Linked DNA regions of Daphnia pulex. The protein of the gene in region 1 interacts with the protein of each later gene in a biochemical or structural test. Links are inferred from orthologs where the notes say so. Each region holds a gene or a part of one and is shown in the gene's direction. Other genes may lie near its edges. The genes, in order: peripheral plasma membrane protein CASK-like and protein nervous wreck-like.

Region 1 (10,679 bases):
ACTGCGCTCGCGGCTCTTACATCAAAGTTGTCGAGCTCCACGCCCTCTCTCTCTTGCGATCTCCATCTTTTCTCTTTATTGATCGATACGCAGCAAACCGTCTCGTGCGTTTGGACGACTAAATGAGAAATGAGAAAGCGAAATATAAATAAGTTGAGCGCGCATTCAAGAAAAGCCCATCACGAGACATTTGCCATCTTCACACTTTATCTTACGTTTGATTTTCTCATAGCGCCTTTGATGATTGCTCCCACTTACTTTCACTCGTTTCGGGATGAGATGTGAAAAGTGTTTTCATTTCTACCCATCCATCCGCCCATTTTGTTTGTTGCATCCAACCTCTCTCCAGCTCCTACGTGCTCCCGTTCTCCCTCTCTTTGATACATATAGAAAATTCGTTCTTCCTACACCCAAACCGGGGTGATTCGATTACATCACGGAGTCTACTGGCGTCGCCTTCTTATTCCTGCTCCTTACTTTTTTTTGGGGGGTAGGGGAGAGGGGGAGGGGGTTATGTTCCTTTCCTCCTTATTTAATGTGCAACTCGGCACGACCTCGACGGAGTTTTCTTTCTCATATCTTTTATAGTTATAAGGCAACAAGAGAGTCGATCCTCGTCAACATCGCTTCATCTTGTCGGTCGTTTCGGCTCCGCTCCGCTGTCATTAAGCCCAAACGTCGAGGGTGTACTTGTCCGAGGGCGTGGTTATATTTTTGAATGGCGCGCTGATATCAAGCGTTGATTGCCCCACATACAGAGTTGATTTGCGAGAATCAATGCAAAGAAAAAGGATGTTATCCGCTTGAGAGAGAATTTCAAAGAACAAATTAATGTCGCATGTAGATTGGCGGAAGTGAGTGGGTGAAGAGCCTTTTTCTTCTTTTTATTCCTTTCTTTTTGGGCTTTGTCAAGAGCAAGAGAGAGAGACGAGCGAGTTGCCTCGTTGGAAAACGAATTCCGTCCCGGATTTTGGCACAGACCCATTATTGTACACAACCTCGGCGAGTCGATAGCACTCGCCCGCTATTAGAATATGGTGCAAAATGCCCTTGTTTCTAGTTGAGTTGGACGAGATAAAAGATGTTTTAGAAAATTTCTCCTTGTTTACCCTTCGTTTGTCGCTTTCAGCAAGCTCTGGGCAATGCGCATCTCTTTCTTTTTCTTTTAGTTGCACACAGAAAGAGAGAATATGCCTAACAGCCGGGCTTTGGGAAATGAAATACACCGAAAAGGGAGAAAAATGAAAGGAGGCGTTTCAGTAGGAGAAAGAGCCGTACGTGCGTAAAATCCCTACTTCAACCTTACGCGTTATGTATGTGCGTCCTGATCCCAGTGTTTTTTTCTACATTTATTTCCGAGTTGTGACGGCGCAGCAGCTCTGTCTTTTACTGCATTAGGAAGTGAAGCTAGGAAACCGAAAGGAAAGGTCTCGGCCTATCTTCGTCACGAGAGTGAGTTGTGTTTGTCTAGGTGTGACAAGTTTTGATGTATTTATTTCGTTTTTTTTCCCTATCTTTCTTTCTTTCTCCTCTCTGCTGGGCCAGTTGCCGACTAAAATCTACGAGAGAGTAAAACATGGAAAAAGCTTCCAATCCAAACATAAATCCCTCCCCAACAACTTACCGTTTCGAAATCTTCTAGTTGAAGGAGGATTGCGTTGGCGTTGTCGTGTCAACACCAATGTATAAAAGAGAAGAAAAAAAAAGACAGGCGGGTGAAAAGGAGGCAGAGGAACTGTAATTGCCTTTGGAAAAACGTGTCGTATACACACACAGTCTAGAAGTAAAAGAAGAAGAAAACATGGTTGGATGGAAGCGCAAAGAAAAGTATGAGGCAAATCCCGTGACGCGTGCGGAATTCTGCTCGGAAAGTGGACATGCTGGGTGTGTATGTGTGTTGAGGCACTACGCCCCAAATGTTTCATATCTAGGAGGCGGCGGCGACAGTGGGTGAAGGGTGAAAAGAAAAACTGGCTGGGCTGAAGATGATTTGTTTCCTTATGCCAGCATGTTTTCCCCCCACGTCTCTTCTTTATTTTGGGAGGTTTCGACTCGTTTCCCTTTTTTCTGCCGTTTCTTTTCTCTCTTTTCATTTTTAAGGCTGTAAAATTGCTTTCTCCAGGAAAAGAAAAGCCTGTATTTTCTAATCAACTTGCCAACTTGGCTAGAAACCCAGAAGATTGCTGACGAGTAGAGAGGGGGGGGGGGTGCTATTTTGTTGATTAAACTCTCAAACGAGCGAGTCGTTTGATTCTCCTCCCCATATATATATATGTGTGTGTGTCTATATATATATCTATATTTATGTATACGTATACCTTTGAAGCTCCGACCTTCCGGCTCTTGCTTCTCTAGGACTCTCTTTTGGACGTTCCATTTCCTCCTCTATTTCCGTTTCTCCTTCCGTTTCTCCTTCCATGGCAGTCATGTGGTCGTTGACTCGTTGTCCTGCATCCAATCATCTGACCAACGCGTTTTCTCCTTTTGTCTGTGTCTTTTCAGAATTTTTGAGTTGTCTCTCTTTCTTTCTGTTGCTCCTTTTCTTCTTCTTTTCTCCGCCTTCTATAGTGGAGTAGTGGGTTCGTGTACAGCCATCATCGCCCACGATGATTGGCCCAGTTCGAAGTGGGGACCTCTCTCGGACCTCTCTACTTGTCTTTTTGTGCCTGCTGGTCCGACACTTCCCATACGTAATAACGGCGGCCTGACTCTTACATAAAAGTGAAATTGTCACGCAGGGAGTCGTGATATCTGAACCGAAATTTCTTGGATGGCGGTCACCAGGATCCCAAGTCCCTTGGCAAACCTTTGCTTCACACCCCAAACAGGATTTACGGGAAGGAATTCAAAAGATGAAAAGGAAGTCTGAGAGGAAGAAAGAAACGAGAAGTAGGAGCACTGTGGGGGGTAGCTTTTCGTCACTTGCGATTCACATTGTAACCCAAAAAGACAAAAAAGAAACATCCAAGATTACTTTTCAACGTCCCTCCAAAAAAAAAAAGGGACGGACGTGTGTCTTACATAAGAATAAATGGTCAAATAGATGTCTAGACGGATAAACACGATGGAGTCAGTAGTGAGGTATTGTGCGTCGCGATCGATACCGCCGTCCAAAAGCGCAGGACTTATTCGAGAACAAGAGTGAAAGGCAGAAAATGGAAAGTCTCCCATTCTTTTTATTTTCATCCCAACCGCCAGTCACTTTTGATGTAGACACCGATTGAAAAGCGGATGGCTAGAGTAACAACTACACTGATATTGTGTCCCCGTGCACACACCAGTGATTCCTTGTTGTTGGTAGTGCTTTTTTGAGGGTCGCTGGTGAATACTGTCCCTCCGCTTCAACCGAAGGAAGGAAAAAAAAAATAGCTGTTGCCAAGGAAATTGATATCACCGAGCTGTTTGCTTGTTTCGCCCACTTTTTGAACGTCGAAACTGAAGTGATTAAGGACATGGAATGGATTCGAGGATCGCGGTGGTTGTTTTAGTTCCTCGAGTGTAGACGAAACACGTTCGCACTCGAGCTGGAAAAACATTTGTTTCCATTTTAGTGATGTAATAATATTGATCGTTTCTGCCGGTTTTCATTCGTCCTTGGTGGAGCATTACGCCGCATGCCTCGCTTAATTCGAGCAGATTACATTCGTCATTATTCTTGGCTACATGCGGAATGGAATTGATAGATAACAGCTCGCCAAAAAGATTTTCGTTCTTTTATTTTATTTTATTTTCATTTCTCCCTTGGTTTTTGTTGATGCCCCTTCATTATGATCACTTGAGGGTTGTGACACAATGCTTTGTATTGCGGTCTATCCTATCGCAGCGTCCTCGATGGCTCCTTCGTGCGTACACAGTGCTTGGGTCGACGTCGCAAGCAGCCAGCCGTGATTCTTATTCTTCCTCGCCTTGTCGTCTTTGGTTGTTCTCCCCCTTTTTTTTCCTCCCCCGTTCTTCTTCGAGAGAAAGAGGGCGTGTTCGATCTTGATAATTGGTCGACCTCCTCTGAATTTCGTTACAATTTTGTCAGCAATGAGGATGAACGCGCAACGTTGCAAACAAATCAATAGCTCGAGGAAGTAACTCGATTCGCTGAAAAGAGCGCTCACGCTCATCCCGGTGAATAATCAAGTGTAGCGATGAAACGAAGGATCAAGCGAAAAAGTCGATCTAGTCGGTTCGATAACGACAACCGGGGCAACACTGTGGAAACGACAATTTCTAAACTAAAGGACGTCGGGAACAAGGTTGTGAGTAACCATCACCAAAGCAACACTACTAATGCTACTCTGCCCTCCGCGCCGCTGTTTCACTTTGGTTCGATTCACACGGGGAAGCCTAGATATTTCCTCGCCGAGCGCATATCGCAGACGAGACGGTCGAGTCTCGGCGGACTGTATACAACTGTTGCGACGCGAGTGAGAGGGGGGAAAAAGCGAAACCTGGTACAGCAGGCAATCTAGGTCTAGCGGGAGTAAAAGTTGGAATAGCAAAGTTGCCAATGGATGTGGGGTCGACAGACCGCTTCTTTACTCTTCTTTCTCTGCTTTTAATCAAACTCACTCTATCTTCTCAATGCCCAACTTACTGTAATCGCATTCTGACGACTCTTTGTCCGGCCAATTTGCCCATATCCTTTTTTTTTCCTCATTTATTCTTTTCTTTTTCTCCTCTGCTTTGTCACGGCGGGTAACTTGCGTCGCCCGTCGTCCGCCTCTCGTTCTCGTGTTTTATGTAAGTCTCCATTTGTAATGCATCATCCTTTGCCTTTATGAAAGTTGACAAACGAAGGGGTCGGCAATCCTCTCTTTCAAGTCTGGCTGGGGAGGAAGTTGTCCGAAAAGTCTGCGTGTCACTGTTGTTGCCAAGATGTCCTTATCGACTTTTATTTCTCTTCTTTTTTCGACTCTAATATTCTTTCTTTAATTGTAATAATAGGCTTTGCTGCAAGCTCACGATGTCATTGGTTACGAATTCTATGGGGACGATTCAGAAGGAGCCAGAGTGACACCGCCGCCTCTACTGCCACCCGTTTACCTTAGTCATTCATCCATCGCTGGGTCAACATCGATGGGCGGTTTGTACGGCACCCACGCACTGGACGGTCTAACCAGACCAGACAGCAGTTTGGGCGGTGTAACTGGAGGAGCTGCCAATGGAGATGTTCAACCTTTAGAGCACGTCACTCGCGTCCGTTTGGTCCAGTTCCAGAAGAATACCGACGAGCCGATGGTACGTACAGTCAGGCACACCATAAGAAACTGCAGCAAACACGACGAATTACTGTATAGCTCTCTGTAAAGTATAGTATAGTGTGTGTGTGTAGCCTGCCACATATATTTATTTTAACATTTGCCGTCGATCGATAACTGCGGACGCCCGCCTTCTTGTTGTGCACGGCGGTCATCACTTGGCCTCCTACATCGTTGTTAACATTGACGCCGATCGATGGATGGACGAGAGAGAGAGAGAGAGAGTGTCTTTTTTTTTTTTTATCTTGTATCCCAAGCACCATATTGAAGTGGTATTGGTATTCTTCCTCTAGGGCATTACGCTGAAGGTTACGGAAGATGGACGCTGCATTGTGGCACGCATCATGCACGGAGGCATGATTCACCGGCAGGCGACTCTTCACGTTGGCGACGAGATTCGTGAGATAAACAGCATGCCTGTAGCCAACAAGAGCGTCGACGCTCTTCAGAAAATACTGGTATTTCATCGCTTTTTTCAATATACTTCACCATTTTTCTTTTTTCTTATTGTGGAATGCGATAAACGGGGGTCTAGACGGCTGGGAAAGGGAAGTGAGGCAATAGTAGTGTATTTTTATTTGATTTTGTTTTCAAAGAAAAGTTTAGAGCTCTGAATGGCTAGTCGATGAACGTTCCTTCCGTTCTCGCTCCGGTTAATCTTTGAAAGACTCCTTCAGGGAGGGATGTGGTGGTGGAAGGGGGGGGGAGGGAAGAGCCCACTGGGAATCGAGAGACGAAGACGGACAATCGCTAATCAGCTTGAGCCGGGAATCGGATGAGTAATTATATGTTGCAGCATTTACTCAATACTGCCGCATCTCTATTCTCTGTTTATATGTATATGTGCGTCTGTAGTGGGATTTTAATCTGCGGGTTGGGATTAGACAAGCTGTGCTGTGCCGACAGACAAGTACGGATGCCTTTCGACATAGCAGAGTGGTCATTTTTTTCCTTCTTCCAGCGGGTGTAGGCGAGTGGTTTCTCTCTTTTTGGTTTTTAGACAGAAAAGTTGGTCCAGTTGCAGCTGATAGTTGTAATTGCTTTCTCGCCTGGAATACTAAGGCCGTTATAATAGCACGCGTCGAGAGTAGTCGCAGTGGCGAACGATACCACGGCCGTAATCATAACAGTGTAATACTATTAGTAGTTTGTTGTTGGGCGTCAGCTGTGCATCCACATTTCTGGTCGATGCTTACAGATACGGTGACGTCACGTACGGCCGTCTATCCCGTTTCCAAAAAGTCGCAAGCGGGTCGTGCAGTATAGCGGGCGCTAAGTAACGAGTCGAGTCTTTCACGATCACTTCGGCGAATGCCGTGAACGGGCCTCCTCCTACACGCGGCCCGAAAATCCACTCCGGAGGGAGTATTCAGAAAAAAGGGGTTTGGTCGGGGGAGGGTGAGGGGGCACTTGTGTGGTGGAGTGGTCGGTTGCGTAAATCTATACGGCGGAGACTACCGGTTGAGGATGGAGAAATAGATGAGGCTCTAAATGAGTTAGATACAATTTGATGGAAAAGGAAATGCAGTTAAAGGCAATACGTAGCAGTTGGAGGTGAAGAATGGAATCCGTTTAGTTTCGAGGAAGTGTCAGCTGTCGGGGGAGAGATTGGGGTCGACGGAGAGCGCACGCGTTAAGTGTCTTTTCAGCCGAGCCAGGCAAAGATGAGGTTTCGCCGAAAAGGTTAGGTTAGAAGAGCCTTCAAGATCAATGCGCTCCTGTCGACTCGCAAATCAAAAATACTCGGCCCACCCAAAGATAAGATTGCTTTACCTCGAGAGGAGGCACAACAATGGTGCCTGATGTCGATGGTGAGGGCGTCCTCCATTCCTATTTCATCCAACAATGAAGGAAGTAACAAAACAAAAAAGAGAAAAAAGAAATATGGGCGTTAGCTTCCGCCTTGCTTTTGTTTTCTCTGCGCGCGTTGTCACGGCTTTATTTTATTTTGAAATTGTTTCTATTCCCGCGGGTTTAGTAGACGACGTCGTCCGTTGGTTAGCAGGGAAAAACAAATGAAAATGTAATGGCAGAGAATTGCGGAGTAAAGAGTTTTCGAGGCGTGCAAGAGTTTTCCATCAGCATCCCTTCCACCTACCTGATACCGACTATATACCTGCCCATCCACCCCTGCCCACCGTCGAGTTAGTTATACAGCATGGCTGCGTGAGGCAACTTCACTTTGTTCAGCTTTTGTGTTTCGTCGGAAAGCGGAAAACGATGTGGGTGGATCTATTTCGATGAGCAAATGAGAACGACGAAGTTAACGCCCAGCCTACCATGCGGGAGGAAATTTTGGAATATTGCGGTGACGCCGAATGAAGAACGAACGCCGGGGAGGAAAAAGGAATAGCTATGGGATAAGAAGAAGAAGAAGAAGAAAAAAAAAGTATATGTAAACCTTAACAGTGGGGATTGGTCGGAAGAGTGGAAGGGAAAAAAGGGACGAAGAAACCGGAGCGAGTCGGATGGAGGAGCAAAATAGAAGGGAGAGGAGAGAGAAAGAGAGAGAGTATTGATTTCAGGATTCCCTTCTCTCTCTCTCATGTTGCGTGTTTCCTGCAGCGAGAAGCCCGCGGATCGGTCACCTTCAAGATTGTGCCGTCGTACCGGAGCGCCCCGCCGCCTTGTGAGGTACGACAACATCCATCTCGATTCATCCATACTTACGCTCGTCCTTCTGATCTCTATCCTTTCCTCAAACACGTTCACTCCTTATCCTCCGATTCTCCTCATGTCGACGCAACGACGACTGACTGACAGATATACATTTTCCTCTCCTCTTTTCACAACTCTTTTCCTATTGCAGTCCAGTTTTCACCCTTAAAAAAAAAATTCTTTCACAATCTTCCTTCCTTTTGACCACTCTTTAAGATGAGACAGTCGATGAGAGTAGGTAGAGTCTCTCTATGGAACTCTCTCTCTTTTGTGATTCGCCCTTTCTTTCTCCAAAGCCATTTTCCAAAGCCAAGAGAGAGTGAAACGGAGAATGAAACTATTTCATGTGATATTTGAGTATGTTATTGTGGTACCATAGTGCCTTTTAGTTTGGAAAGGGAAAGAGAAAAAGACAAAACAAATTTATGCCGCTCCTGGTTCATATTTCTTGTGATATCCAATTTGTGCATGGGCAACTTTCGATTGTCTTGAAAATGGACCAGAGTCGAACTTTTTAAAAAAGAAATGCCCACGTGGAATCGTCAAATATGATGAAATTTTCCTATTCACTTTTATTCCCGTCGATCCAACGGAAATAAAAGATAAAGTAAGAAAATTTAAGCGGAGAAATGACACTAGAAACACTTTGGTTCTATTGCCTATCTGTCTAGATTGGAAAAAGAATATTTTATTTACAGTATCAGTGAACGGCAATATATATATTGATGTTTCATTTTTTGGCCGGTCTCTTTTCTGTGTGTCCCTTTTGGTCTTTTCTTTCTCTCTATCTTTCGCATTTCGTTCCATTTCCCGCTTCCCAAACAACAGTTATTCAGGATTAATCCACAGCCGGTTCTTGTAAGTACTGTCTCATGATAATCGATCAGTCTTCTGTTTTTTCCTTTTTTTAACAAGTCAAGTTCTACGGGGTTGCTATTATTTTTCATTATCATTATTATTTGTTTTTTTACTTGTAATTATTTTTATTTTATTTTTTTCGACCGGGAGAGTAAATAGTTAAGGCCTTTTATTTCTTTTTTCCGTGTTGCCCATCACTTTTATTTTTAAACTTAAAAAAAAAATCCCTTCTCTTCATTTTCTTTTTGCCAAATTGCCTCCGCTCTGGAGTTGAAAGTTATTGGGTTGATTCGTTTCTTATTTATACTATTGTCACTACTCCCCTACTATATAAACAGTGTTTATTAAACACATACACACTCTCTCTTGTCATTTCCACTACTTTGCACACAAGGAAAGAATAAGAGTCATTACTTCAGAGCCGACTTTCCACTTCCTTCTCCCTTTCCTTTAATTGATGCACGATCTGTTTTGGTACTCAAATACAAAAAAAAAAAAAAAAATACAAAAAACGAAAAAGAAGGGGGATCTGGTGGGAAAAGGAATCTGGCGAAGATGTAGTCAATGGACTAAACCACTTGATTTGGTTCTCGCGCATCCTTCTTTTTCTCCTCCGACTTTTTCCCCCTTTTTTCCCACCTTTTCTGTTTGATGTAGCAATTTGATTGATGCATGCCATTATTGACGTCTCTCCGCCTCTTATTTGTTGTTTTGCTTTTTCCCCTTCAAAGTAAAATATATATCTACTATGCATATATTTTCTTTCTTTTTTATATACATTCCTCTTGTTTTTTGTTTTAGAATTTTTTACTGGTCCAATCTCCTTTTTTAAAAAATTTCAAATTTTCATTCATTTTTTTCTCCCCGACGCTGCATATCTACTTCTTAAAAAAAGGCCATTTCTAAGTTTCTTTTTATCCTTTTCTACTGTTAGCTTTGGAATGTTCAATAAACTAGCCGGTGTGACGGTTTTTCATCATTCTTTTGTAATGCGGGTCTCGTTCTTTCTTTATTTGTTCCGCAACGGCTCGATTTCCGAAAACATCGCAGATCTACGTCCGAGCCCAATTCGATTACGACCCGCTGGGAGACGACACTATCCCCTGTGCTCAAGCTGGCATTGCTTTCAAGACGGGTGACATCCTGCAGGTTTGTACAATATCAATTTTTGAGTGACACAAGAGACATGAGCAATTGCATTTCCTTTGTATTCATTATCTCACCCGACTGCGGCATTCGATATTCATGACTCGACTTGTTCTCTTCTTAAACAATGCAGATTATTAGCAAGGACGACAACCGATGGTGGCAAGCCAGGAAGGACGGTGCCGGAGAGTTGGCACCCGCTGGATTGGTCCCTTCTCCCGAGTTGCAAGAGTGGCGAATCGCCTGTTCGACAGTGGAAAAGAGCAAACGAGAACAAGGTAAAAACCCGCAAACAATTATTCATTTGACTAGGATTTTTCCTTTCGAATAATAACGAAGCGAGTGAACAGCAGGATGAAACTTAACTCTAGTTGTCAGACTTGTTGCCCACGCTTCCAGACAAGAAACTTTTCCATCTTAAAAAATGCACCAGCTCGGACTTGTATTGCTCTCCAACTTTCGTTGTGTAAGTCTATTAAGGCTCAGCGGAGGTTCTTTTTTTACAACGAATCAATGACGCAGTCGTACGCGTCCAGCTTCCGGAAGCAAAGTCTTACTAGTGGCTCTCACACAGCAAACACAATTTCCTGAGCTGGCCCCCTCTTTTGTTTTATTGGCTTTTACCTCCTCGCTCTCCCACTCGCTCTCTCTCTCTCTCGACTCAGACCCTTTCTGCGTGTCTTTAATACAAATGCAGACTCCCGACTCTTCATCCGATATTGTTTGGATTTCCTCGTCAATATGACTCTCTTATTGTTAAGACGAGCC
Region 2 (10,744 bases), on another chromosome or scaffold:
GAAGAATTTGAACCTCATAATCTTCGTGTTTTTTATTTTCAGCGGATTTTTAGCCGGATCGGATCCATCGGAGTCTTCCATCCAGAATAATCGTCGCAGTTGTGTGTTTGCCAACCAGATGGCGTTCACGCGATTTAATGCCGAAGCGCGCGCGCGCGCACTGCCGAATCGATTTCCGATTTCTTCTTCCTCTCCCCCGCCTCCCTCTCCCGGCCGATGTTTCCTCGCATGTCGTGAGTGTAAAAGTGTACGGGCCCCGGTCAGTGCGAAAAAAAAAAAGCAACGCACCCGCACGACGAAAAAAGTAAAAATTAATTGGCGGCGAGTGGCCGACTGGGACAGACAGAACTTACGGGTGAAACCATATTTCCGGTTGAAAGTGAATTCAATCCATTTTTTACCTGAACATTGATGTCACTTTAATTCAAGCCAAGAGTTTCAAGTGTTTCAAAACGAGTGTAGAATGTCGACGACGCAGCAACAACCGCCACCGCGAAAGGTTTTTATAATATTTCAATCGATCTTCTCTCTCTCTCCTCTGCCTATTGTGATGTAAAAATTCTTCTCTTCCTGTGCGCCTCCCCTTCTGGGAAATTTCTCCTTTTATACGCAGGGCAATTATGCAAAGGTATTGAGAAATTTGCATGCGGAGCAGTTGTCCAAGGTACAATGGAAACACCAACAGGAATGCGAACTCCTAGAAGACTTGCGGTATGTTCGTACACTTAAAAGTCATTCGATAAAGTGCATCTGTTTAATTGTGTGTTTTCTTTTTCTTGTGAAAATGACTAGAAATTTCATCAAGCAAAGATGCGCCGTCGAGAAATCCTACGGCGAGGTAGGCCTATAGACACACACAGGAAATATCGATCCCTACACATAATATACTGGCCGTGTAGCATAGATACATTATACATCGAGCTATTGATTGACGGATGTTATATACATTCTCCCCTTCTTTTTTTGACTCTTTGATGACATGCCCGCAGGCCATGCAGAAGATATCGGCCAATTACCTCAACAAGAAAATGCCGCCCATTCACGAACTGAATCACGACGAAATCAACCAGCAATGGTATTAACTCACCCTGGGATATTTCTATTGATGTATAAACAAAAATTGTTAATCGATTGTATTTGATTGACTACAGGACGGTTTGGTCAATATGGAGATCTTTGCTGGAGGAAACGGATAAATTGGCAAAGGCCAAATTGGCCGCTGTCGAAATATTCCAAACGCAAATCGCAGACGACGTGAAAATCGTCCGTCAAAACAAACTCCAACTGGCTAAAAAGGTAAAAACCCCTAATTTTCGATTATAGACACCTGAGATTTTACTTTTACGAATGAATCCCCAGAATCTGGACCTATTGAAAGTGGTGCAAGGTGAAGTGCAAACTTGCGTGACTGAATTGGACAAATTGAAAAAAGTTTACGTCGACGACGAACATGTCAGTCACGACGCTCGTGACAAGGCCCGTGAAGCTGAGGAAAAGTATGCTGACCATTTGAACTGCAATTCAATCCATTATTTTAATTCAAATTGTTTTTATTTTTAGGCTAAAGAAGAAAAAGGGTAGCATCTTCCAGTCGGTTTCCTCTTTACAGAAGACATCGGCCAAAGTAGGTGTCAAATGTTTGGTTCATTTTTAAAAATCCTGATCAATTCAATTTTATATTTGCATTGGCCAGTTGGGGAGTCGAAGGGATTTGTGTGAGGAGAAATCGACTCAAGCCAGAAACGCCTACCTGCTTCAACTTGCTTCAGCCAACGCCCATCAGAATCGATACTTTCACGTTGATTTGCAAAACGTCGTCAAGGTACCATCTTTAATAAACAATCTTTTGATCAACGGCGTACTGACATTTTTCGTCTGATTAATCCAATTTGCAGACGTTAGACGGCGGAATGTACGAAAAAGTGGCCGAATACTTTTCCATTATGAGTCGGACGGAACTTTATACTTGCTCCGCCTCTCAATTCTCTTTCGGCAAAATTAAAGAGCAAGCCCAAACCGTACGTTGTTATTACTTTACCAACCCAATCTAATTAGCGAAATCTTATTTCCTTTCTGTCCATTTATTTTATAGATCAATCGCGACTACGACCTGGCCTGTTTCGTCGACGCCTTCCCAATTCTCAATCAGCATATCACTTACGACTTTGAGCCTTGTGACAATGACGTCATCACGACGGTCAGTTTGCCTCGCCATCTAACGAATAAAATCGATAATTGCTTTTTCAAATCAAAGATGGCGTCTGTGTCAACAAAACACACGAGTCGAATAATCACCAACTTTTCGTTCGAAATTTTTCGTTGATTAAAAACAGGTGGATCAAGCTCACGGAGCTGGTGCCGGATTGATTCAGAGTGGAAAACAATATGCATCTCGTGTCGCCCAAGAATCCAAAAAGATCAGAGAATCGACGAGGACACTGCAAACTCTACAGGGCATGAAAGAGAGTGGCTTGAAGGTTTCTATTTTTCCCAAACTTTTTGTTTGAATGTATAGTTACTATTGTTTTCTTTGTTCTGCAGAGTGATCCGAATGAACCCAACGGACCTGATATTGACGCCAAAATCGATGAAATAAAAAACCAATTGAGGCGCTCAGAGGTATTGGACTTGTAGTAATATTGCTTTTGTGCAGCCATCTCGACATGTTTACATTTCTTAGACTGCCAAAATAAAAGCTGAGGCTCGATTGGAGTGCCTTCATGCTGGTGGAGGTAAATTGTTTAAATTCACACCTCCCAAATTTCTGACTAACATTTGATTCATGTGCAGTCAAAGTAGATGAATTCCTTCAAGACGCAGAGGGTCTGGTGACTCTTGGATTGATGAGATCTTCTAGCCAGCTTTCTTTCCGAGTATGTTTTGCCTTAGAAACACCTTCATGAATCATTCAAATCAAAAGTTTATTTTCAATATTGAAATGAAGGAATCGGCTCACGAGGAATCTGAATTCTCCGACAGCGGCTCTCGCGCTGGTGCTGAAACAACTCAGCAGGATGAAGAAGAGGAAGAAGCTGCTGACGAAGCTTTCGGTAAAAAATCTATTATGCATATGCCAGTCAGATCAGTCTGGAATGACTAATGAGTTGCATTTGATTTTCAAAATAGTCGAGCAAGTGGTACAGCAGCAAATTGCTGAAATGCAGGCAACGTGGCAAGATCCGACGGCCGCCTGGGATACAACCGACGCCTGGGGAGACGACGCCGCTCAGCTCAACACTTCCGCCGCCAACACGACCACCACGTCTGTACAAATTGAAACTGCCAGCAGCGTCACGGATTCGGTGCATGCCAGTGGAGATGCCAGCGTCATCAAATGCATCGCGTTCTATCCCTACACGGTACGTTGATATCATTTTTATAGTTCCTTTTTGATCTTTCAATTTATTCCTCCGTTTGGGAAATAGGCACAAAATGCGGACGAGCTTTCCATGATGGAAAACGAAGAGCTGGAAGTGTTGCTGGCCTTTTCCGAAGGCGACGGATGGGTCAAAGCCCGGAATTACAAGGGAGAGGAAGGCTACGTGCCTGAAAATTACCTGGACCTGCACGCCGACGATCAGGTGCCGTGTGGAGGTGACGAGGACGCCAACCAGAACGTCCATCAACATCCAGCTATTGCGGAGGAAGTCGAGCCGGAAGAAGGGCACGAGGAAGAGGAAGAAGAAATCGTTAGTGCAGAAGCGGAAGGAGGTTACCCGTTGGAGAACCAAATTTCCTTTTCTTCAGTCGACTACACGTACCAGCAGCAAGGAATGAGCGCCGAAGAAGAAGATGAGTTCCCTGGGCCGACCGAAAGCGCTCCTTTACCTCCACCTCCTCCACCCATTGCTGCCCCAGTCGTGGAATCATCTCCAGTTCCTGCCGCTGATGGCCAAACAAACCGAATCATCGGCTACTGCCGGGCCATGTACGACTACGACGCCACGTCTGATGAGGAGTTGACCTTTTACGAAGGTGAAGTCATCGCCATTTTCCGTCGATCCGGTGCTCTACACGATCAGGACGTCGACGATGGATGGTGGGAGGGTCAGCTCCTAACGGACGGTACTCGAGGCGTCTTCCCTTCTTTGGTTGTCGAAGAATGCGGTCCCAACGGCGAAGAATTGACGCCAAAAGTAAAACATTTGATTATTTCGATGATAACAAGTATGGCAGAATATTTATTAACGTAATGGATTGGACTCACAGGTGTCGCCTGCAACACCTGAAGAGGAATCAGTGCCTCCGCCGGGCAGCCCTCCAGTTGTTCCTACTTTCCTCCTGCCTCCTGAACGGGTCATAATCACGCAACCTACTCCCGAGACGGAATTCCCTGATGATCATGGTACAACAAATAGTCCCTCATTTTCATGTAGTTGATCTGATCTTAATTGAATTTTTTTTTTGAATGATCAAGTAGAGCACATGTTCGACCAGAACGCCACCATTAAGGAAATGGATGAAGACGAAGATGATCTTGCTTCAGAAATGATCAACGTCGAGCCAGGTAAATCTTTTAATTCGATTCGAATTTTCCCCCTAATCAATTCTTTGTCATTTACTTTTTAGCCACGCCCACTGAAGAGGAGGGAAACAACAACGGCCAGGTAACATTTGGTAGAACGTTGAAAGTCCATTTCATTCTAAATCAATAATTTTTTTTTTTAATTTTAGATAACTGACGGACTGTCTGGCACTCAGATCATCGTGACGGCATCGACCCCCATGGTTGAAAACGAATTCAAATGTTTCAACCCGACAGATGAAAAGACGTCCGACGACAAGGAAAACGAAATGGAACAAGAATTCGGCGAAGAGATGGAACCGCCTCCGCCACCAGCACCGGAGCCATCAACAACCGAAACGTCGTCATCATCACTAGACCAACCGTTGCCGCCGCCAGCACCAATCGCTGACGAGACTGTGGTCAGAAAAGGATTCGACGACGAGTTTGTCCAACTGGAAACTGCCAAGGAATCTTACGCCTAGAGAAGAACCCACATTATCTGTATGGGCCCTCATGCATTTCAACTGCTGCTCATTGAGCAATAATTGTTTTTTACATTCCTCCCCAATAACCTTTTTGAAAAACACACACACTCACCATTCCATTCTCCACTCCAATTCAGGTCCAGCAAATAATTAACATCACAGAGAGGCTTTCATTTGCGGGTTGTTCCCATTGTAACGTAAAATAGTAAGTTTTTTTTTCTTCAGGTGCACAACGGGACATTATTATATACAAACCAACTCCTTTGATTCATTTTCATAGAAGCTTGTCAAAATATCTTTTACATGTTCAAGGCATTTGTCAAACATTTGCCCTTAGTCTGGATGATGATCTCATTCTATTAGTCCCAGCAGTCGATTCCATGTCGTTTAAAAAAAAATTGATAGGTGTCATCCCTTGATTGGTTCGATAAAGAAAAACGATTGCGAAATTCCTGTTCGATTACATAGGCAATTCTCCAACCCTTTTACAAATAACAAATTCGAAAAAAGAAAAAAAACAAAACAAGATTTCTATTTGCTTATTATCCAGGTGTTTCAATGCTGATGTCAACTCATTTGTAAGATAAGAGGAGTCAACTAGTCCAACCGTAACTTATTTCCAATTAATTATATTTATTTTCACTAGTCCATTTCCATATTCTCCAAACATTTGTCATATTTTAGATTTACAACAAGTCAAGTTTTTATTTCAAAATAACTTAACACTTGTAGTGTCTGTGGGAAAATTGTAAACCAGATAATAATGAGATTTTTAAAAAGTAATCGTAAATACTCTCCTCCTTTTCATTTTGTGACAATATTTCATTTGCGTGTGTGTGTGTAAGATCCGCTGCTATATCGTCGTTTGACATTTGAGATTACTGTTCTTAATTCTGAGCTCCTTATTACCTTGGTCATTCCCCAATACACACAGTCTCACCCCCCCACTTTGTCTAATCCATTTGATTTTTGCGTGAAAAATTCAGGTGCATCACGCCACCCGAGGCGAGAGAAGCGCGTTTGTAAACTAGGTTCATTAATTAAGATAAAGTTAGGAATAACACTGTTCACCGCAACATTTATTTTTTAATGATTTTAAGTTTGATTAGCCATTTAGTAAACCGTAGTAAACATATATAGTTAAAAAAGATAACAAACTTTAGTCTACACAATCACGACAGTCACGCATGGATGGGAGTCCTCTAGCGCTCGATTAAACTACTAAAGGATCGGCGAAATTTCCAGCTAGTCGTACTCCATGACCTCGACAATGAGTTGGCTGCAAATAACTAGTTAAACGTCGCATTTCCTTTCTGGTGTCATCACAAGTCCTGAAGGACACGCGCAAAAGTAACTTTGATTATATTTTGTTTCATTCTCAAAGCCAGAAACGACGGGATTATATTTAAGCTTCCCTGAGGCTTTTGCCAAAAACAACAGGCAATTATGCACAAAATGAAAGAAAATATGATGTGAGACCTTGAAAAGATCAAATAAAAGAATGCAAAATAGAAACAATTTCTCTTTTCCGGAAAAACATTCGCCACAACTCAGGGATTTTCCTAAAGAATGCTGGGATGGTAAATAAAAAAAAACCCGTACCGTTATCAGTCTGTCAATAATTGTGTCACGTGTAAAATTACAGATAGTAAATATTTTGAGGACATAAAATAACAATTGAATGGATTGATTATTTAACAAAAGGAATAAAAAAAGCTGAGTGTTATGTTTGAATAGCCATTGATGATTTGGCAACCTTGATTCACCACGAGAAGAGGAAATTCTCCCGGACGTTCAACCCGGGAAAGAAAAAAAACCTTTTATTATACAACACACGAACGCCGAGTGCTGTGACTTCACCTAATTTCGGCAACCAACCTGCTTTCTGCGTTCAAGACGAGCCCCCATAAGCCCCGTTACATTGCCTTAAGAGAGTCCCAATATTCATTCGCCTCACAGACGGCGAATCGTCTGCCTGCACCAGATAGCTACAACAACCCAAAGTTGTTTTACCTGCTGCCCCACATTTGCCGTAATTTTTAAACTCTCAACGAGCTACATACGTTTCAATCAGGTAATTTAAACCAGCCTTGGCTTAATCATGTGTAAATCGCTTCTTTCGTTGAATCTCCGTAGTAGAAACGAGTTGGTTTGTTTCAGTTTTATTATTAGCCAAGTTCAACAGCCTTCAGCACGTCGATAGTAAGTTGTAAACATACGTTTCTCTTCTACTTTCTCCCGTTCGTTTTATGGTTTTATTCATACCCTTTGGTCGCGTTACACGGTATTATGCGTTTTGTCTAGTGCTTGGATTATGCAGTTCATTGGATGATTTGAATCGCAGACTTGGTAATCATTGCTTGTTTCATTTGCTGGTTTCAACAGATTCACTGAAAGATGGCGGAGGGACATCAAGCTGTTGCCTTCTCGTTTGCCATCACCCATGAAGGTTTGGACGTCAACTTTGACTTTGAGGTAAAATCTATGCAATTGCAATGCTTTGTTTTGTGACGGTCAAAATGGTTTTTCTACTTCAGGTCATTAGGCTTATTGCCAGAAGTGCTGTTCGCTCATGGAGGAAGAGGGGACTTCGTTTTCAGGTTCAGAAATGTTCTGAATGCCTAGCAATTGTGCCCGACTAATCTTTCAATTTTAAACCTTACAGACAAACCTCAAGTCCAACTTTTTCCCAGGTTCTCTTCGCTCCCTGGTTATGACTGAGGCTGTTTTTATTGGTGCAGAAAAGTCAGGATATGATTTGACATGTGGACTAACTGATAAGCTAATTGTCCACTTCCCCAAGTATTTAACCAATGGATTTACTTTTTAATTAAAATAGTACTAATTTCTCTATTGAAAAATAGGAATTCTGTCGAATATCGGGTGCTGTGTTCAGCCATTCTAGGTCTTGCCGGCTGGGCTGGAGTCATTTTTTCGCTGAGACAATTGATGGGTTTGTTGCTCAAGTATCATGGATGGATGTACGAGGAAAGAGGTGCCGGTAGACAAGTCAGTTTACCTACTCGAGCCTGGTTTTTGGCCATGCAACCATTCTTCCGCCTCTTCCAACCGCAGCTCTACTCGTTTCAAGGCATGTTACCCACTCTTCCCGTTCCGTCATTGTCTTCCACTCGTGAAAAGGTTTGTATCAACTTGTCAATTTGACAAATATCGATGAGTGCTTGACTATTTGTATCTTATTTAGTATTTGAGAAGTGTCCGGCCGCTGCTGGATGACGCCCAGTACTCCCGCATGGAAAAGTTGTCACTGGAATTTGTTCGTGGTATTGGACAAAAGCTGCAGCGCTATCTCTACTTGAAGCGAATGTAAAACATTTGTTTGTTCCTTAATTTGAAAAATATTTTAATCAAACCAAATGCGAATGATTTTAGGTGGTCAACCAATTACGTTTCCGATTGGTGGGAGGAATACGTTTACTTGCGTGGCCGTTCTCCCATCATGGTCAACTCTAATTTTTACGGAATAGACACTCTTTTCAAGCATCCGACCAGAAATCCGGCGGCCCGTGCAGCCAACATCATTTACGAAGCTTTGCTCTTCCGTCGAGCTATCGAACGCTCAGAGCTGGAACCCATCATGGTCCAGGGAACGGTGCCACTGTGCTCATTTCAGTACGAGCGCGTCTTCAACACGACCCGAGCTCCCGGGATCGAAACGGATCGCATCATCCACTTGGACGATTCGACTCACATCGCCGTCTATTGCCATGGCAAATATTTTAAAGTCCCCCTGTACTACAAGGGCCGTTTGCTCCGTCCTTGCGAGCTGGAAATTTCGCTGCAGAAGGTCCTCGATGACGTGTCTGCTATCCAGCCGGGCGAGGAGAAATTGGCGGCCTTGACTGCCGGTGACCGCATCCCATGGGCCAAGTGCCGACAGGAATTTTTCTCCAAAGGATTGAACAAAGTTTCCTTGTCCGTCGTCGAAGGCGCTGCCTTTATGGTGTCGTTTGACGACGACGATTTCAACTTTGATCCGGTTTGCCAATCTTTTCTTTTACTTTCTCTATATTTTTGTCTAATTTTTTTAATTTTAATGCATCAGGATGATCACACCCAACTGGACAAATTCGGTGCGACGTTGCTCCACGGCAAGGGTTACGACCGTTGGTTTGACAAGTCATTCACGCTGGTCATAGGGAAAAATGGACGCGTGAGTTTCTCGTCATTTTGGAAAATCATTTTTCGTTTTAATTACAAATTGAATTTGTTTGTTTTTTAGGTTGGATTTAATGCGGAACACTCTTGGTAAGTAATCCAAATTCAATTCACTGGTTGTCTATTTCTTGCATCAAATATTGGGGTGGTTCTGGGAATTGGGGGGAATGAAAATTTCATATTTTAATCATAATTTGATCAAACAAAAAAATGTTATGAAATCACCCCCTGCCAAACCAGGGCCGACGCTGCAGTTTTAGCCCACATGTGGGAATTCGTGATCGCGGAAGATGTACTGGTCCCTCGGTAAAGTTTCATTCCCTCCACCATTAAAAAAAACCAAGTCTTTTTTAGGACGTGTCTATCTCTTATATTCTGCACACCTTTTTTTCTATTATATTAATTATTTTTGCTGTGCACTTTGTGATACCCTTTTTTCCGCTAATTCTTTTTCTCTCCGATTTTTATTTTTAATTTAAAAGAAAAAAAAACCACAAGCAAAAAAAGGTGCCGGGTACAATTAGTTTTTTTGTGTTTGTCTTAATTGAAATTTTTCATTAATTTCGCCACTATCGGTGTTCCCTTTTTGTCCGTCTGTGGCCACTTTTTGTGTGTGTGCGTTTTTGTGTCTGTCCGTTGCCTCTCTCGTCCGTCGCGATTTCAGGGCGGACGCGCCCGTCATGGGCCACCTATGGGAGTATTGCTTATTCTCCGCTGAAACGGCGCAAACTGGGTAAGGGTCCATTCTCTCTCTCTCTTTTTCTCGGACGAGAATGAGCAAAAAGAATGAATGACACGAAAAATTTAATTTCTAAAGTGAATGACACACCTCGCACCACCACCCCCAAAAAAGAAACAATTTTTGATTTGTTTGCATTTGAGAGAAATGTGTCGTCCAAAAAACAAAAAACGAATGACCCGAAAGTATAATACGCCATTTCTTTGATTTTTGTGATTTGGGAGTTACATGACAAACGGGTCCAAGCTGGAAACCGGTAGCCATTTTTAGATTTTCTCTTTTTTAGAATTGAAAAATTGTTTAAAGGTTTAGCATATTTTTTCTCGACGTTTCCTCTCTTTTATTTCTTTTCTTTTGCATGTCACCTTAAAGAATGTCTTGCACGTCGCATTTTTGCATGTAGAAATTTTTAGATTTTTATTTTGCTTTAGCGCATGCGCTCAGTTTCACGCACATCAATAATTTTCGCTTTTTAATTTGAATTTCGAAATTGAAAAATTTCGTTTATTAATTGGAATTCTTTTGGCTGGAAATAGATACAAGGAGGATGGCCACTGCAAGGGCGTCCCGGAATGCACTCCGCCTACGCCCATCCGTCTCAAATGGGAAATGCCCGAGGCCTGTATCGAGAAGATTGAAACGAGTTATCAGGTAAACACACCTGGACTTTTTTTTTTTTTTAAATTAATTTCTGTTGGTGGCACTTGCGGTTTCTTCCCCCCGCATGTCCATTGTTGTCTTGGCCTTCACTTGAAACCGAATTTCCTCTCCCAGGTGGCCTTGGCGCTTCTGAACGACGTCGATTTGCGCCTGTTGGCTCATTCGGCTTTCGGC

Evidence for each region.
Region 2: the proteins of peripheral plasma membrane protein CASK-like (region 1) and protein nervous wreck-like form a complex in vitro, tested with the Homo sapiens proteins (2 studies listed by BioGRID and IntAct, with this or other methods). The link is inferred for Daphnia pulex from reciprocal best matches to the Homo sapiens genes CASK and FCHSD2.

What each region holds. Positions count from the first base shown.
Region 1 is NC_060018.1:1,078,229-1,088,907, forward strand, and holds part of peripheral plasma membrane protein CASK-like, read left to right. Parts: intron 1-4,935; coding exon 4,936-5,229; intron 5,230-5,542; coding exon 5,543-5,707; intron 5,708-7,814; coding exon 7,815-7,883; intron 7,884-8,735; coding exon 8,736-8,765; intron 8,766-9,815; coding exon 9,816-9,914; intron 9,915-10,044; coding exon 10,045-10,189; intron 10,190-10,679. UniProt on the Homo sapiens protein: Multidomain scaffolding Mg(2+)-independent protein kinase that catalyzes the phosphotransfer from ATP to proteins such as NRXN1, and plays a role in synaptic transmembrane protein anchoring and ion channel trafficking.
Region 2 is NC_060027.1:7,932-18,675, forward strand, and holds protein nervous wreck-like, read left to right. Parts: upstream 1-72; 5' UTR 73-463; coding exon 464-499; intron 500-613; coding exon 614-711; intron 712-792; coding exon 793-838; intron 839-989; coding exon 990-1,075; intron 1,076-1,151; coding exon 1,152-1,296; intron 1,297-1,359; coding exon 1,360-1,496; intron 1,497-1,560; coding exon 1,561-1,624; intron 1,625-1,693; coding exon 1,694-1,822; intron 1,823-1,895; coding exon 1,896-2,018; intron 2,019-2,092; coding exon 2,093-2,197; intron 2,198-2,333; coding exon 2,334-2,477; intron 2,478-2,541; coding exon 2,542-2,619; intron 2,620-2,680; coding exon 2,681-2,732; intron 2,733-2,790; coding exon 2,791-2,873; intron 2,874-2,944; coding exon 2,945-3,050; intron 3,051-3,126; coding exon 3,127-3,359; intron 3,360-3,425; coding exon 3,426-4,136; intron 4,137-4,209; coding exon 4,210-4,345; intron 4,346-4,417; coding exon 4,418-4,507; intron 4,508-4,569; and 5 more. Other genes in the region: carnitine O-palmitoyltransferase 1, liver isoform-like, read left to right, coding at 7,390-7,467, 7,530-7,592, 7,658-7,794, 7,857-8,133, 8,198-8,319, 8,386-8,992, 9,059-9,166, 9,236-9,261 and 3 more. UniProt on the Homo sapiens protein: Adapter protein that plays a role in endocytosis via clathrin-coated pits. Contributes to the internalization of cell surface receptors, such as integrin ITGB1 and transferrin receptor.